Linked DNA regions of Callithrix jacchus. The main gene of each other region encodes a partner of the protein of the gene in region 2 in a complex. Links are inferred from orthologs where the notes say so. Each region holds a gene or a part of one and is shown on either strand. Other genes may lie near its edges.

Region 1 (5,811 bases), on a different chromosome or scaffold from region 2:
ATTAAGCTAGAAGGGTTAGCAGGGGCAAAACTGGGCAGAGGGATCACATGCCAGGCTAAGGAGCCCTTTACAGTACAGGCTCTGAAGGTTTAAGAGCTGGGAGCTGCCCTGACCAGAGCTGTTTACTATGAAGATGAGCCTGGCAGAGCAGGGGGGACTAGATAGGTGAGAGGTAGGAAACAGGAGACTACTCATCTGTTGTCTGACCAAGATTTACTGAGCACCTGATATGTTCCCCTCTCTGTTCCAGATCCTGGAGTACCAGTAGTGAATACCACAAAGATGCCTGCCCTCAGACAGCCTGCTTTCTAGTGGAGGGAGAACAGAGAACAAAATAAATAAGCAAAATATACAGTAGGTCAGAAGGTGGTAAGTACTATTGGAAAAAAAGTAGAGCAAGGTGAGTGGCTTGTTTGTACCGGGGACTGCTTAAGAGGAGGCAGGCAGAGGGAACAACTGGGACAAAAATGAGAGGCAGGAGTGTGGCTGGCACATGAGGTTCAACGACAAAGCCAGTATTGTGGGGCTGGAGTGAGCCTGAGGAGAGAAGAGTAATAGGCTTTGCAGAGGGCATGGTGAGAACTCTGGCTCGGACTACTTGGGAGGCTGATGATGAATCTGTTCACTGCTGAAGAAGGAAGAGGGCAAAGGGCAGAAGCTCCATTTAAAAGGTTCTAATAAGCCTCGGGCCTTTCTCTGCCTGAGAAACTTACTCTCTGCCCTCTGCCTCCCTAGATTACTGCCCCAATGCCTGGAGGAAAGACAGGTGAAGGCCGAAAGCCACGGGAATAGCGAAAGTGGGCAAATTGGACCTCCAGCTCCCTTTCTGCAGGTCTATCTCAGTCCACAGCCCTTGCACATGCTCCCTTTGAATTCTCCAAGCATACCAGTAACTTCCAAAACTCTTGGGACTTTGCTTATGAGGGCATCTCGGCCTGGAATGCTCCTCCTTATCTGTCTTGAGTGGGTGTCAAAAAGAGTATATTTTGATGACCTCTCCCGGCCCCTCATGCTCGCTCACATCCCCCTCACTCCTTTCAAAGTCCGTTCCCAAAGCCCCCAGTTCACCGTCCTGGGCTGCTTTTAGCCACGTGAGACCTAAAGTGATCCCCTCTTGGAACCTGATCTGGGGCCTATACTTCTGGGGCAGTCTGGGAGTGCTCTCGAAGGGCCACCCTCAAAGAGCGAACCTCGGCTGGATTCAGTTCCTAGGTACCAGCAGTCCGACCTCTGCAACGACGCTCAGCACACCCCTTCCCCTCTCTGGGTCTCAGCTGCCCCGTGAGTACAGCCCCTGCTCCAACACGCAAGGTCAGTAGCATCTGGGGGCTCTGATGCACTCGGTCCCTAACTCAGCCTGAGGTCAGCCCAGAAAGCACCCGACCCGGGAGGCCCCGCAGCTCTTCACTCTCCCGCCCTGCCCAGTCGCTGACACAAGGTGACTTCCAAGGGCAAGACCACGACTCTTACCCGTCTGTAGGCGCCCCCCTGGCTGGCCTCAGCTCGCAAGCAGGCTGCACCCACCGAACTCTAGCCTCAGACCGCCACCCTTTACTACCCTCCCGCGTGAGACGAGAATCAGCCGAGCTTCCTCCACCAAGAGGATTGGCCCAGCTCAGCGTTGGCTAAGCCAATTGGCGCTCGCGGCGTGATCTTGCCCAGTTATGACTGGCCTGTGTCGCCAGCGTGCCCCTCCCCGCGCTGGTCCAGGGCTTTGCCAGGTTAATTCCACCCACTTCGGCCCTGAACCAATGGAGAGCGGCGAGGGCCAGAAGACGGCCAATGGAGAGCGGGGCTGCGCGCAGGGGGCGGTGGGAACGGGGCCGAGTCAGTGTATACTGCGGTTGCCTAACAACCGGCAGCGGAGTCCTTTGGCTATGGTGAGTGCTGGCCGCTCCGTCGCGCCCCACGCCCAGAGGTTGAGCCCTTCCCAAGCCCCGGCTGTGCCACGCCGCCTCTCCTGCGCCTTTCTCGGCTTTGGCGTACAGTCCTTCCTTTGAGCTCTTTCCCGGAAGGGTAGGGTACAGGCGCTAACCAACCTACTGGGCCTGCGCTTCGCTACTGCCTCCCCTTCACCCACGACAGGCCCACACCCGCCCCTCAGGCTCCCCTGGCGTTCCCTGGTCCCCTCGGTGACCCTCCCTGGGCAAAAAAGACTCGAATCCCTCACAGACCCCTGACTCTCTCAGACCTTGGCCTCCTGGCCGCCTCATTCTGCCAAAGTTTCCCCACAGAACTGGGAGAAGGTGTATTGTTTTCTTTGAAAATGTTTTCTACAATATAAATATAGGGGCATTAAGGGGATGCTTTAGCTTCTTGGAGAAGGCACGAAGGTGCCAGATGGATTGAGTTTTATTATTAGATACTGACACGATATACATCTTAACTTCCTAATATTTGGGCAAATCTAGAAGTAATTGGGAAGTCAGAGTACTTACTAGGAAGCGGAGTACTGGCAGTGGGCATTTTAAGGCTGTTTCCAGAACCAGGTTCCCCACATTCGGGAAGAGCTGATTATCTCTAGTTGTTCACAGTCAGTTTCTTGACTAGCTCTCTTTTGGGATGATTTTCAATAAGAGATATCCTTACTGAACAAATGATCTCCCTGCATCTAGAAACAATAGTAAACCCTGTGATATTTCTTGTTAAGCAAAGCTTTGGAATTGGTTATAAATGACTTTAAAAATACATATAGGTGTCTGTAACTATGTTATGTAAATATGGACTGTATTATATATTATTGTGCTTATGTATTTGCATAACATATAAAGGCCTCCAGCTTTAAGAAGGCAAACATGGCGTCAAGTGCCCAGCGAAAAAGAATGAGTCCTAAGCCTGAGCTTACAGAAGAGCAGAAGCAGGAGATCCGGGAAGCGTTTGATCTTTTTGATGCAGATGGAACTGGCAGCATAGATGTTAAGGAACTTAAGGCAAGCTCTATGCATTCCTGCCGTTTGCCCTGCCTTTCCTCTCCCTCTTCCTTGTCATCTCTTTATCACCTCTCTACCCCTTTTGCCCTCTTCTCCCTGCAGTAAGTAACAGGGGAGGTTGTACTGTGCTCTGTTTTCCTGTCTTTACTTACCTTGAGTATTATCAGATGGATTGCAGATATCAATTAGATCTGTGTTAAAGTGTTCCCGAATCATATTAACATGATCACATCAGATACGGACTTAATGCTCTCAACACTGTTATTTTTGCTTCTTATAGTTTAGATGTGTATATTGAGACAATCCTGTTTTCATTGTAGGTGGCAATGAGGGCCCTGGGCTTTGAACCCAAGAAAGAAGAAATTAAGAAAATGATAAGTGAAATTGATAAGGAAGGGACAGGAAAAATGAACTTTGGTGACTTTTTAACTGTGATGACCCAGAAAATGGTAAGTAGTTAAGACAATTGGCATGGTACAGAGCCCCAGTCATCTGCAGAGGCCCATGGCATCTGCCTGTTAAAACAGTCATGTGAGCACACAGCAGTTCAGGCCTGCCCTCCCGTCATGTTACCTTGTGCTTCTCTCTCAAGACTTCCAAGCAGATACCTCATCCCACAGAATTCCAAACCAGTTAAGAAACAGATGTGGGATAGGGAGCAAATGTCACCTTGGATGGAGTGCCTGGCTTGCCTGGTGTTTCTCTGAGGCCAAAATGGGCTTCCTGACACTGGCTGCAAGTCTAGACTCGAGTTATTGTTAAAAAGGAGAGGGTGACTGGGCAGCGGCAGGGCTACAGGACACAAGTAACCGTGGTGTCTCCCTACTCATGTGTTTTATGTTCTACTTGTTAAGTCTGAGAAAGATACCAAAGAAGAAATCCTGAAAGCTTTCAAGCTCTTCGATGATGATGAAACTGGGAAGATTTCGTTCAAAAATCTGAAACGCGTGGCCAAGGAGTTGGGTGAGAACCTGACTGATGAGGAGCTGCAGGTTTGTAATGCCTCACACTGGAACTTCAGATTCCCACCTTTCAGCCTTCTGTGCCTTTTCTGTTACATTTTTCCTCGTGTGAGCATCTCTTTGAAGGAAAGCCAGTGGACTCTTGTCCCTTTAATAGTCAGACAAACCTATGAGCCCTGCTTCTAGAAAAATGCACAGGTGCACAATCTTACTTACTATTTTGGGTTCCAGGAATCCCTCTAGTCAAGGCAGTCTTCAAGCTCCCTCCCAGGTGATATGTTTCACAAAATATGACTTGGTTTTCAAATAACTATTCAGGAACCAGGCTATTATCAGGAGTAGCATACTGGCATTGGGTGGACTACGATGATCTTTTCACATAGCTTTATTAAAGTCTATTGCTTCCCAGGCACAGTGGCTCATGCCTATAATCCCAGTACTTTGGGAGGCTGAGTTAGGAGGATCACTTGAAGCCAGGAATTTGGCACTAGTGTGGGCAGCATAGAGACCCTGACTGTAAAAAAAGTCTATTCCTTAATCACCTTTTTGAATTAGTTTATAAATTAAGCTAACCTGAATATTTACTGTCATATAGGAAATGATTGATGAAGCTGATCGAGATGGAGATGGAGAGGTCAGTGAGCAAGAGTTCCTGCGCATCATGAAAAAGACCAGCCTTTATTGAGATCAGTGTCTTCTTTTCTACTGCAAGCACATGTAACTAGATTTAGTGCCTGCAATTGTGTGAAATCTGGCTTTTGAGAACACAAATGTTTCCCTCACTGACCTCCCTGTATCACTTTAATAATGACCTTGAACCTATTTTAGCCTTTTGGAAGTGTTCTTTTATATGACAGTTCTTTGTAAAATGACCTGCTAATTATTCTAATTCTCAAAAGCAAAACAAGAGCACATTAGCGTGAAGAAAAGGATCTTAAGGCTTCGAGCACCTGCCATTTTGCCTTGCATCGTTTCCACATATCCACAAACACAGAACGACTTCTTAGACAAGCACATGTGGTACCTGTGTCACCATACGCAGCAGTCATTTTTCAGTGGTTCCAGTTTTCTCTTTATACAACCCAGTGAACTCTCGCACTGGCATTTGGATGTGTGTTAATGCTATTTGTTTTAACTTAAAAATAAAACCTTTCTCAGTTTGACCTTGTGTTCTCTAGAGATGAGTTTTTTAGCTTTGTGAGTTCATCTTCTCAACTATTGTGTTGAAGGCAGCCTGTTTTATACAAAACTCCTTACCAGCCTGTGGACAGAAAATGAATACTCCTTTGCTACTCTCCTGGCATGAATTGCTTTTTGCCTTGGGAACCTGCTGGTTTGTAAAACTAGCAGAATTTTTATGTCATGTAAACCTAAATGATGCTCTAAAAATAGTTTTGGCAAAGTGCAAGACTGGAAAAGAGTCTTGTTAGTAATTTGTGCTTGAATGAAATGGGGAGAGCCAGGCTAATCCAACACTAGGATGGATTCAGCCAACCTGTCATGAATCTACGTGCTTAGGGTATCTCGCAGACTCTTGGAGGTAGATTGGGCTGAGTGACCCTGTCCAGCCATCTTCCTGGACTTGCATGGGATTACCTGTGAGAGAAATCCTGGTAGATGACATCAAAGTGTCTGCTCCAGGGTGGGAGTGGGGGCAGATAGAAGGGGTGAGGGAGAATAGAAAATGAACAATCATGGCAAGCTCATTTGTTCACATGGAGAGGCAGTAAATGGATTTTCAAACTTCTAGGGGTTGGCTAGTCCCCTAGGGATAGGGTTGCCTGATTTATCGAATAAAAAGAAAGCCTAGGTAAATTTGCAGTTCAGATCAGCAATGCGTTTTTGTTTAGTATGAGTATATCCCATTTGGATTTTTTTGTTTATTCATTGTTGATCTGAAATGGAAATTCACATGGGCA
Region 2 (5,093 bases):
AATTATGCTGAATCTACTCTGCCTGTGTTCTGTAAATGGAACAAGGCCTGGATGACAGCACTTCTGCTTATAGCTCAGTTTACTGCATACTTTAAGCCTGCTGTTGAAACCTGCTCAGAAAAAAATCTTTCAAAATATTACTGTTCGTCAATGATACACCCAGTCAGTCAAGAGCTCTGATGGAGATGTACAAGGAGATTAATGCTGTTTTCATGCCTGCTAACACATCCACCCTGCAACCCATGGGTTAAGGAGTAATTCAGCTTTTAGACTTTATTATTTAAGAAATACATTTCATAAGACTATAGCTGCCATAGGTAGCGATTTCTCTGATGGATCTGGGAAAGTAAATGAAAACCTTTTGGAAAGGATTCACCATTGTAGATGTATTTGTGGGCAGGGTACAGTGGCTTATACCTATAATCCCAGCACTTTGGGAGGCCAAGGCAGGCAGATTGCTAGAGCCCCAGGAGTTCGCGACCAGCCTGGGCAACATGGTGAAGGCGAGTTTCTGCAGAAAATACAAATATTAGCTGAGTGTGGTGGCACATGCCTGTATTATACTCAGCTATTTATGAGGCTGAGATTAGAGGATCACCTGAGCCTGGGGAGGTTGAGGCTGCAGTGAACCATGATCATGCCAGTGCATTCCTGCCTGGGCAACACAGTGAGATGCTGTCTGGGTGGGTTGGGGGAGATGAACATTAGCAATTGGCCGGGCATGGTGGTATGTGCCTGTAATTTCAGCTACTCAGTAGGCTGAGGCAGGAGTATTGCTTGAGCCCAGGAGGTTGAGGCTGCAGTGAGCCATGATCATACCACTGCACTCCAGCCTGGGTAATAGAGGGAGATTCTGTCTTAAAAGCAAAAATATTTGACTGCATATCAAGAGGTCCTCGGTTCAAATCCGGGTGCCCCCTAAAAATAAATAAATAAAATGAAATGAAAAAAAAAAAGAATATTTGGGGCCAGGCATGGTGGCTCACGCCTATAATCCCAGCACTTTGGGAGGCCAAGATGAGCAGATCACTTGAGCTCAGTAGTTTGAGACCAGGTTGGGCAACGTGGTGAAATCCCATCTCCACCAAAAATACAAAAAATTATCCGGGCATAGTGGCACACACCTGTGGTTTCAGCTATTTGGGAGGCTGAGGTGGGAAGGAGGATCACTTGAGCCTGAGAGGCAGAGGTTGCATTGAGCTGAGATGGCACCACTGCACTCCAGCCTGAATGAGAGTGAGATTCCAACTAAAAAACACAAAAAGCATTTGTGATTCATGGAAGGATGTCAAAATATCAACATTAAATGACAGGCGTATGGAAGACGTTGAATCCGGCCCTCATGGATGACTTTGAAAGGTTCAAGACTTTAGTGGGAGAAATATCACAGATGTGATGGAAACAGCAAGATAACTAGAAGTGGGCCCTGAAGATGTGACTGAACTGGTGTCACTCATGAGGAATTGCTTTATATAGACAAGCAAAGAAAGTGGTTTCTTGAGATTGAATTTGTTCCTGGTGAAGATGCTGTGAACATTGTTGAAATGCCAGCAAAGGATTTGGAATATTATTTAAGCCTAGTTGATAAAGCAGCAGCTGGGTTTGAGAGAACTGACTTCCGTTTCTAAAGAAGTTCCACTGTAGGTAAAATGCAATCAAACAGCATGCCGTGCTACAAGGGAAATCATTCATAAAAGGAAGAGTCAATTGATATGGCAAACTTCACTGTTACCTTGTTTTAAGAAATTAGCATAGCCATCCCATCCTTCAGCAACCAACACCCTGATCAGTCAGCAGCCATCAGCATCAAGGCAAGACCCTCCACCAGCAAAAAGATGGCATGCTGAAGGCTCAAGTGATTGTTAACATTTTTAGCAATAAAATATTTTTTAATTAAGGTATGTATGTTGGTTTTTAGACATAATGCTATCATTGCACACTTAATAGACAACAGAAGTATACTATAAACATAACCAAACAATCAAAAAATTTATGTGACTTTATTACGATACTTGCTTTATCGTGGTGTTCTGAAATGGAACCCACAGTATCTCTGAGGTATGCCTGTATGCGCTTTTAATTCTGAAGTCCAACATTATTTCTCCTTGCTTTCTGTCTTCCTGCCATGTCTTCTGTACTTTTAGAAACCGTGCACTTGTGCAGACATTGTTCTCAATATTTTGTTTCTTCAGATGCCATCATTAATGAGAAATATGACTACCTGAAGGGGTTCTTGGAAGACTTGGCACCTCCAGAGCGCAGCAGCCTAATTCAGGATTGGGAAACATCTGGACTTGTTTACCTGGACTACATTAGAGTCATTGACATGCTCCACCGTATACAGCAGGTACCTGAGATCCTGAAATTGCTGCCTGATTTTCCTTTTCTCAGGCCCTTCCATCTTTAGAGCCCTCACAAGGCCTTAGTATATACTTGAGAACGCATTGGCAGACATATTACTGTAAAAGCAGGCAGGACATCTTGCTGAGGCTCATTTGATATAACCATTTTGACAGCTGTATTGAAACTTAAAAATGCTTTTTTTTTTTTTTTTTTTTAAATATATAAGATGGGGTTTCACTATATTGGTCAGGCTGGTCTCTAACTCCCAACCTCAGATGATCTGCCCACCTTGGCCTCCCAGAGTTCTGGGATTACAGGTGTGAGCCACCGTGCCCAGCCCTAAAAACGCTTTTTTATGTTTATTAACAACTAGTATGTGCAATAGACATTCCTGAGGCTTGTCCATAGACAGTCCCTTTCCCTTGTTCAGCCCTAGTTTGAGTGAAAAACCCAAAGATGAGAGATTAAGAATGAAGATTCGATGAGGATCATTGTTTCACACATTATTTGGCATGTTTTAAAATAGCAAAATAGTTAATTTGGCAGGTTTTAAAGTTGCAAAATGGTTAAGTCTTTATTAAAATGTCTTGGGTCAGTTTTTTTTTGTTGTTTTTTTTTTTATTGAAACAGAGTCTTGCTCTGTCACCCAGGCTTAAGTGATTCTTACGCCTCAGCCTCCCAAGTAGCTGGGACTATAGTGGTGTGCCACCACACCCAGCTAATTTTTGTATTTTTAGTAGAAACAGTGTTTTACCACATTGGCCAAGCTGGTCTTGAACTCCTGGCCTCAAATCATCAGCCCGCCTTGGCCTCCCAAAGTGCTGGGTGTATGCATGAGCTACTGCACCCAGCCTTAAGGTCAGTCTTTGTAGTCATAAAATGGGTCTCCACCGCTTGCTTATGGTACAAAAACCAAACTCATTTTAATAAATATAGGATTTAAGTCCTTTTTGAGGCCTTTACCTTTCCAGCCTTACTCCTACCACTCATTTCACATTCCAGCCTTGCTGCCCTGCTGTACTCACACTAAATTACTTCTGGTGTTTCTAACAAACCATATTATGTTCCACACTTTACCTAGCACACTTAAACCCATCCTTTAACATCTAGGTTGCTGTTAGCCCTACTTCTCCCTCCTTTTCCCCCAGAGATAATTAATTGCACTTTCTTACTACCAAGATACTTAGTGCATTTTTCTACCGTCAGACCATGTTGTAGTTACTTGTTCACATTTCCAGGTTGCCATAAGCCCCTTATGGAGAAATCTTTTAAGGTTAGAGGCAGTAAAGTATAGGAATTAACAGCTCAAGTTCTAGAATTAGACTCATAATTTCAATTCATGGCTTCCAAATTCACTGGCTGTGCAATCTTGTGCAAGTTAACCACCCCCTTTGTCTCGTCTGAAAGAAAAAAGTGGGTGGGGTAGACAGTGGTACAGATTATAGCTCATATCTGATAGATTTTCACAAAGGTTAAACAAAATATACTCAAAGTGTTTAGCATAGTGCCTTTCATGTACTAAATACCTTTTTTTTTTTTTTAAGGCAGAGTTTTGCTCTGTCACCCAGGTTGGAGTGCAGTGGCATAATCTCAGCTGACTGCATCTTCCATTTTCCATCTCCCAGCTTCAAACAATTCTCCTGCCTCAGCCTCCCCAGTAGCTGGGATTACAGGTGTGTGCCACCACACCCAACTAATTTTTATTTTTAGTAGAGACGGGGTTTCACCATGTTGGCCAGAGTGGTCTCAAACTCCTGACCTCAAATGATCCACCCACCTTGGCCTCTACTAAATGCTTGATAATTGTTATTTATTATTATCCTCATCAAAGTTTCAACTCCTAGTATAGTGCCTGGCACATAATGGGCATAATTCAATGTTTGCTGTACTTTTAGTATGAATTAAGAGCATCATTTCTGAATAATCACTTGAAGAAACCACTTTCTCATTGAATATTGAATGATTCATTCACACAACCTATTACTGAGAACCCACTGTGCCAGGCACTCTAGTGGGTTTGGGGAATGTAAAAGTAAACAGTATGTGTTCTGCCCTTACCAACGTGAAGATTTGGTGGGGGAGATACAAGTAAAGCAACAATTACTGTAGCATGATAAGTGTAGCATTAAACAAAGAGTACTGTCAGTATGCCAGCGCATAGCTGGATGTGGTGGTGCATGCCTGTAATACTAGCACTTTGGGAGGCTGAGGTAGGATTGCTTGAGACCAGCCCGTACAGCATAGTGAGACCTCCCTTCTCCAAAAAATAAAAAAAAGATATCTTGTTACATAAAACCTCTCTAGTATTATCTTATTCTACTTCTCTTCCTTACCCCACATGTTACCATGTAAATCTCCTTTGAATTCCCACCTTTTGGGGTTTTAGCTGTTCTCTTTTAGCAGGTCTCAACTTAAATATGACCTCCTTAAAGAAGCGTCTCTTATCCTTCAGTCTCAAGTAGCCATCCAGTTTCTCTCTGCCACATCCACCTGTTTAAATTATCTGCATGGCTTGTGATTTTTCAGGATTTATTACTGTTTCATGTTTTATTGTTTATTTTCTTTTATTTTTGAGACGGAGTTTCGCTCTTGTTACCCAGGCTGGAGTGCAATGGCGTGATCTCAGCTCACCGCAACCTCTGCCTCCTGGGTTCAGGGAGTTCTCCTGCCTCAGCCTCCTGAGTAGCTGGGATTACAGGCACGCGCCACCATGACCAGCTAATTTTTTGTATTTTTAGTAGAGACGGCGT
Region 3 (5,758 bases), on a different chromosome or scaffold from region 2:
TCTCCCTGTTTTTTTTCAATCATGGCTCACTGCAACCTTTGCCTCCTGGGTTCAAGCAATTCTTACACCTCAGCCTCCCAAGTAGCTGGGATTACAGGCATGAGTCCCAGGTAATTGTTTTATTTTTAGTAGAGACAGGGTTTTATCATGTTAGCCAGGTTGGTCTCAAACTCCTGACCTCTGGAAGGCCAAGGCAGGAGAATCACTTCAGGTCAGGAGTTTAAAGAGTGCTGAAATTAGAGGTGTGAGCCACCACACTCGACACAAAAGGAGAAGTTCTTAGCCCTATTTTTCTACATACCATGGAGAGATTTCCCAAGATCCCTGAAGATTGCGTGAGTCGAGGCGACTTCCCTCCTGTTCCAAGAATGCAGGAAATATCCGGCTGTCTTAGTAAGCTTCGGTATGCTGGGGTAACTACAAACAAAAGGTTGGTAGAAAAAAACTTAAGGTGCATGAGCATTCATTATCAAAACAAAGTAAGCAAACAAACAAGGAAAAATAAATTTTTCCGTTTTCCATCATTTAGACTCTAACCAGATAAATACTTTAAATGTTAACATTTTCACAATACAAGGATTTAAGTTATTTTTCTAAATTTGAGTTCTAGGTACTACTGAGCCTATCAGGAAAAATCTTACTGCAATTATGGATGCTTTCATTATAGCATAACTGAGCAGTTAAAAACACTAATGAGTCAATGGACTCTTCATGTTTTAATTTTATAAGGCTTACCGAGGCAGTGAATTGCAGTGGGCATAAACTTTGGAGTAAACAGATCATTGTTTGAATCCCAATTCCATTATTTACATACTTTACAGAGTCTTACTCTTTCGCCCTGGCTGGAGTACAGTGGCACAATCGCAGCTCACTGCAACCTCTACCTCCTTGGTTCAGGCAATTCTCCTGCCTCAGCCTCCTGAGTAGCTGGGATTACAAGCATGACCCACTACGCCAGCTAATTTTTGTATTCTTAGTAGAGATGGAGTTTCACCATGTTGGCCAAGCTGATCTCGAACTCCTAGCCTCAAGTGATCTGCCCACCTCAGCCTCCCAAAGTGTTGAGATTACAGGCGTGAGCCACTGTATCCAGCTTATTTACATACTTATTGCCTATATTATAACTTCTCTAAGTCTTGCTTTCAGTTTTGGTAAAATAGAATTAACAATACCTATGTCATAGTTACTGTGTGTTTATGTAAAATACAGTACTTTGTACATGGCAAGAGTTCAACAAATAACTGCAATCATTATTATTTGTGCTTAATTATTGATATAGTAACCAAATACTAATTGTTCTACAATAAATGTTAGCTGCTATTATAATTATCATTATTATTAAGTGCTTTAAAAGCAAAAAAGTCTTACAAGGCTGTCGAAATGAGCTAGGAGTTCGAGGAATAACCTGGTTTCTTGGTGTAGTATTACCAAAATTTTCATCTTGAGATGACTGAACTGTACAATGAGTTAAGAAAAGTTTTCCACGTAGAAAAGAGATCATTAAAGTGAGAACTAACAATATTTTTACTATACAAATTATGTGAATACATTTACCAAGAATAAGGTATTTTATGGCTACTATTTTTCTATGCAAAGGGTAAATGATTCCTTCTGCCATTTAAATTCTCAGATGTCAGTCTTAGATAACTACTGAACTAAATGTTTTTAGTCAGTTTTCAAATAATAAAAAAATCTAATTTCAGCAGAAGCTAACCACAATATGATAGTCAGTAGTAAAATGAAATATCTTTATTCTTAGGGAAACATAATCTCATTAAATTTTAGCATTATATTTACCAAATGACAGTTCCGCAGAGTGAAAAAAAATTTCTACAGGATTTTATTACAGCTAACATTTAATACTCTCATAAAAGAAAATTCTACAACACCGATTCCAAGCATGTTACAATTTTTATAATGATGCTTAAATCGCAAAGGATACTTAAAACTCTTTTTTGAGCACTCTGTTTCCGTGCAGTCCGTGTCACCTCTGCCTCCCGGATAACAGGGGATGATATATCTCCAAAGCCACTCCTAAAGTAGTATAATCAAGCTTACATAAGTGAAATGAGAATGTAGTATTTGTAAAAGAATTTTATCATCACAGCTGGAGTAAAGGGCTCTGAGTAAGTTGTGGTATAGGTCATTCCAATAGCCAAGTCTTAGATCTTTTGCTGAGAATGCACTCCTGGCTCCAAATCCTGCTTATTCTTCAAAGCCTTACTCAAATCTTACCTGCACAAAGACTTCTCTGACTTTCTAGTACTCACTATGTTATTTTCTCCTAAGGAATTATTTCAACACTTGGAATCTATAACACTGTTTTAGATAACTGCTTCATAAAAGTCAATCTCATTTCCCTTGTTGGATTGAGGAGTTATCTAATTACAGGAATTCTCTCTTAAAAGATTTTCTGCAGTCTCCAAAATGCTTTAAAACACAGGTACCACTGAAAAACAAACAACAACACAAAACAGAGCTTGTGAGATAAGAGGGTAAATAAAAGAATTCTGGTAAATGGAGCAGAATGATCCTTCAAATTATTTCAACCCAGGATGTCTCCTGTCCCATCACATCACTCCCTGTCATTTTCACTCAAAGGTCTAGAAACGAAATTGTGTGGATGAAAAGGCCTATGTTTAAGGCAAGAATCTGATATGCTTTTCCTCCACTTAAAACCTTCAGATATTCCTTCAGCAAGAAAGTATGGAAAACAATAACCAAAACAAAATTTAAAAGGTTTAATTAAAAAACAACAACAAAAAAAACTTCAGATATCTCTCTCTAGTCTATAGAAGTACAAATTCCCTAAAAAGCTATTTACAATGTGACCCCAGTTTAGAGGTTCAGTCTTATATTCAGCCACAAATATCGCTTTAAACATATTCTGCATGTGACTGCCGACAAAGCACGTACTTTTTTCTATATCCTAACACCTTTGAATAAGTTTCTTTTAAAACGACCTACAGTGGCTCCCTTGAGCACCTGGTCAACAACTACTTACTCCTCAAAGAGCCCCAGGTAGCCTGGAGACACACAGATGCAGGTTGGGAATTTGGTCCTTGTATTTACTACTAGCCTTCTAACTTTCAGCAAGTTCCTTAACCTCTTTTAGTCTCAGTGGTATCTATGAAAAAAGGATAACAGCACATATTTTCATAGAATTTTTCTTGTTCTGAAGATTAAACAAGCTAATAATATATATTCAAATCCTTTGGAACAATGCAGTCACATAGCAGTACTCAAGGTTTGGAGTACCAATAATGTACTATTATTACTCAAACACCAACTAGAAAGTTACCTTCTTCGAGAGGTCTTCCTGATAGTTATATAGTGACAGGGAGACTTAATCGTTCCAAAACACTTATCACTTTATATGCTTGGTTGTCTCCACTACACAACCAATTCCCCGAGGTGAAGGATCTTGAATAACTGATCTTTGTTGCAGCCGGCTAGCATAATACCCAGATTATAGAAGGAACCCAGTATTTGATGCTGGCACTTGTGATCAGAAAGTCTGGGCTGAGATCCCAGTATCTTCATTGACTGGCTTTGTGATCTCAGGCTGGTCACTCAGCATGTAGAACGCCGGGCTACCTACCCCGCCCACCTCAGGAAAGAATAGTGTTGCTGCCCCAAAGCGCCGAATAGATCGCAGAACACAGTGAGAATGTAGGGAACCATCATAATCCGTATCCCACCCCGACGCAAGCCAAGCGACCTTTTCCGCATTTGTAGCCAAATTTCCTGGCCTGGGGAAGGAGTCTTAGGGGAAGCACCCGGGACCTCCTCCTTGGCTTTTTCTGGGAGTCTAGTTTCACCTATTTCGTTTCGCCAGCAGGCGAGAGGGACAAGACTTCGGGCTCAGCTCCCACGATCAGAACTGACCTGTCCATGGCTAAAGCCTTTTCCATACAGAACCAAGGTTGGCTCCAGTTTAGTTACCGCGTTTTAGCCTTCCCGCTCTCCGGAAGCAAGCCTTTCGACCTGGAAGCACTCTCCCTAAAACAGCCCCACAGAAAAAGCGCAGGGGAGAAGAAACAACGTTCCCACCTAGCGCATGCGCGACTTGAGCCTACATGAGCTAGCCCGGTGGGCGCAGGCGCAAAGTTTGCCAACTTGTGCCTGGCTGGACCAGACAGGACCGGGGGCGGGACCTAGTCGCGTTTAGCCCGGAAGCGTTGCGGCCGCTTTGCCTGACCGATGTCTGTGGGCGTGGAACAGGCGTTGGGTTCTCCTACTGGGAAAAACGAATTATGTTGATAGTCTGGAAAAATGTGAAGTCATTACCTGGTATTCTCTCAGAAAGCGCCTGTTGTTGGAATTCAGATATGTGGGCTCTGCCTCGAGAAATTTCTGTTTCTCTCCCTACGCTCAGTCCTTTGTGCTGTAGCTTCATACAGTTTTTGAAAGTATTTTCCATAACTGCTATTTGTTCTTTACTTGGTATTTTTTGCTATGGAGGAAAAAAAGTTCACCCGTATTAAAAAGTAGAAAGGCAAGCGTAAAATATGATGGTATTGCCCTCTATTCAAAGTGCCGTGTAGGCAAATAGTGGTTATATTTTGGTCTTGAAGGAGTCACATTTTTGTTTTTTTTCATATTTGAAAGTAGTGACTGGTTATTAACTGATAAGATTACAAAAATAATATTAGACACCTCAGTTTATCCATTTAATAAGCCTGTTGATATGGTCTTTTCTGTTGCTGGCATTTATACCTTTCATTAATACAAAATAGGTAGTCCTTCATTCTACCTCGTGGAGAAGATAATTTGAAGGATCACGGGAACTTGAAGAATTTTTCAACAACATAGAGCTCTCGAATCAGATTCTCCAGTCAGATGATGCCATATTTATCAAGAGATCTAGCAATTAAAGAGTTATCTCTGTTAAGGTAATTTGTTTATTGGTTTTACTATAACCAGTAGGTATATCAGTTTATTTGTTGATTTCAGGTTCAGGTGCCCCATGCAATAGGTGGTTCTGCAATCCTCAACATTGTTAACCGAAACCTTGTTGAGTTTAACAAAGGTGCCATTGACAATCTGGGGAAAGTGAAGAAGTTGCCACAGACTTTTGGGCTTACACTATTGATACATTTGATCCTTATTGCAAATGACATTTTGGGTTTCACAGATATGTAGAAATTGCCAGCTTTTCTTGCCATATATTCCTGGTGACAGTGCTGAGCTTTTTTTTCTTTTCTTTTTGAGATTATGTCTCGCTCTAGTCCAGGCTGGAGGGCCGTGGCGTGATCTCGGCTCACTGCGAAGTCTGCAAGCAAGGAAAAAGCTACATCTATGAAAAAGCTAAGCACTGTCGGGTGCGGTGGCTACCCCTGTAATCCCAGCACTTTGGGAGGTCCAGGTGGGAGGGATGGCTTGGGCCCAAGAGTTTGAGACCAGCCTGGGCAACAACATGAGACCCTGTTTCTGCAATATATATATATATATATATATATATTTTTTTTTTTTTTTTTTGAGGCAGGGTCTCGCTTTATCACCCAGGATGGAGTGCAGTGACATGAGATTGGCTCACTGCAACCTCTGCCTCCCAGGTTTAAACAATTCTGCTTCAGCTTCTTAAATAACTGGGATTACTGGAATGCACCACCATGCCGGGCTAATTTTTTGCATTTTTAGTAGAGATGGGGTTTCTCCATATGGATCAGGCTGGTCTCAAACTCCTGACATCATGTGATCCACCTGCCTTGGTCTCCCAAAGTGCTGGAATTACAGGCGTGAACCACTGCACCAT

What was found. The genes of interacting proteins can lie anywhere in the genome.
Region 1: NUP98 (region 2) and CETN2 share a complex: the UniProt entries of both Homo sapiens proteins name them as parts of the nuclear pore complex. The link is inferred for Callithrix jacchus from reciprocal best matches to the Homo sapiens genes NUP98 and CETN2.
Region 3: NUP98 (region 2) and NUP107 share a complex: the UniProt entries of both Homo sapiens proteins name them as parts of the nuclear pore complex. The link is inferred for Callithrix jacchus from reciprocal best matches to the Homo sapiens genes NUP98 and NUP107.

The regions. Positions count from the first base shown.
Region 1 is NC_133524.1:148,958,900-148,964,710, reverse strand, and holds CETN2 (centrin-2), read left to right. Parts: upstream 1-1,830; 5' UTR 1,831-1,877; coding exon 1,878-1,880; exon of another isoform or gene 1,881-2,016; intron 2,017-2,771; coding exon 2,772-2,930; intron 2,931-3,250; coding exon 3,251-3,379; intron 3,380-3,784; coding exon 3,785-3,922; intron 3,923-4,487; coding exon 4,488-4,577; 3' UTR 4,578-5,055; downstream 5,056-5,811. UniProt on the Homo sapiens protein: Plays a fundamental role in microtubule organizing center structure and function. Required for centriole duplication and correct spindle formation. Has a role in regulating cytokinesis and genome stability via cooperation with CALM1 and CCP110.
Region 2 is NC_133511.1:69,111,042-69,116,134, reverse strand, and holds part of NUP98 (nuclear pore complex protein Nup98-Nup96), read left to right. Parts: intron 1-2,192; coding exon 2,193-2,347; intron 2,348-5,093. UniProt on the Homo sapiens protein: Plays a role in the nuclear pore complex (NPC) assembly and/or maintenance. NUP98 and NUP96 are involved in the bidirectional transport across the NPC. May anchor NUP153 and TPR to the NPC.
Region 3 is NC_133510.1:50,460,550-50,466,307, forward strand, and holds the start of NUP107 (nuclear pore complex protein Nup107), read right to left. Parts: upstream 3,982-5,758; 5' UTR 3,915-3,981; coding exon 3,889-3,914; exon of another isoform or gene 3,302-3,888; intron 2,035-3,301; coding exon 1,943-2,034; intron 1,456-1,942; coding exon 1,369-1,455; intron 418-1,368; coding exon 302-417; intron 1-301. UniProt on the Homo sapiens protein: Plays a role in the nuclear pore complex (NPC) assembly and/or maintenance. Required for the assembly of peripheral proteins into the NPC. May anchor NUP62 to the NPC. Involved in nephrogenesis.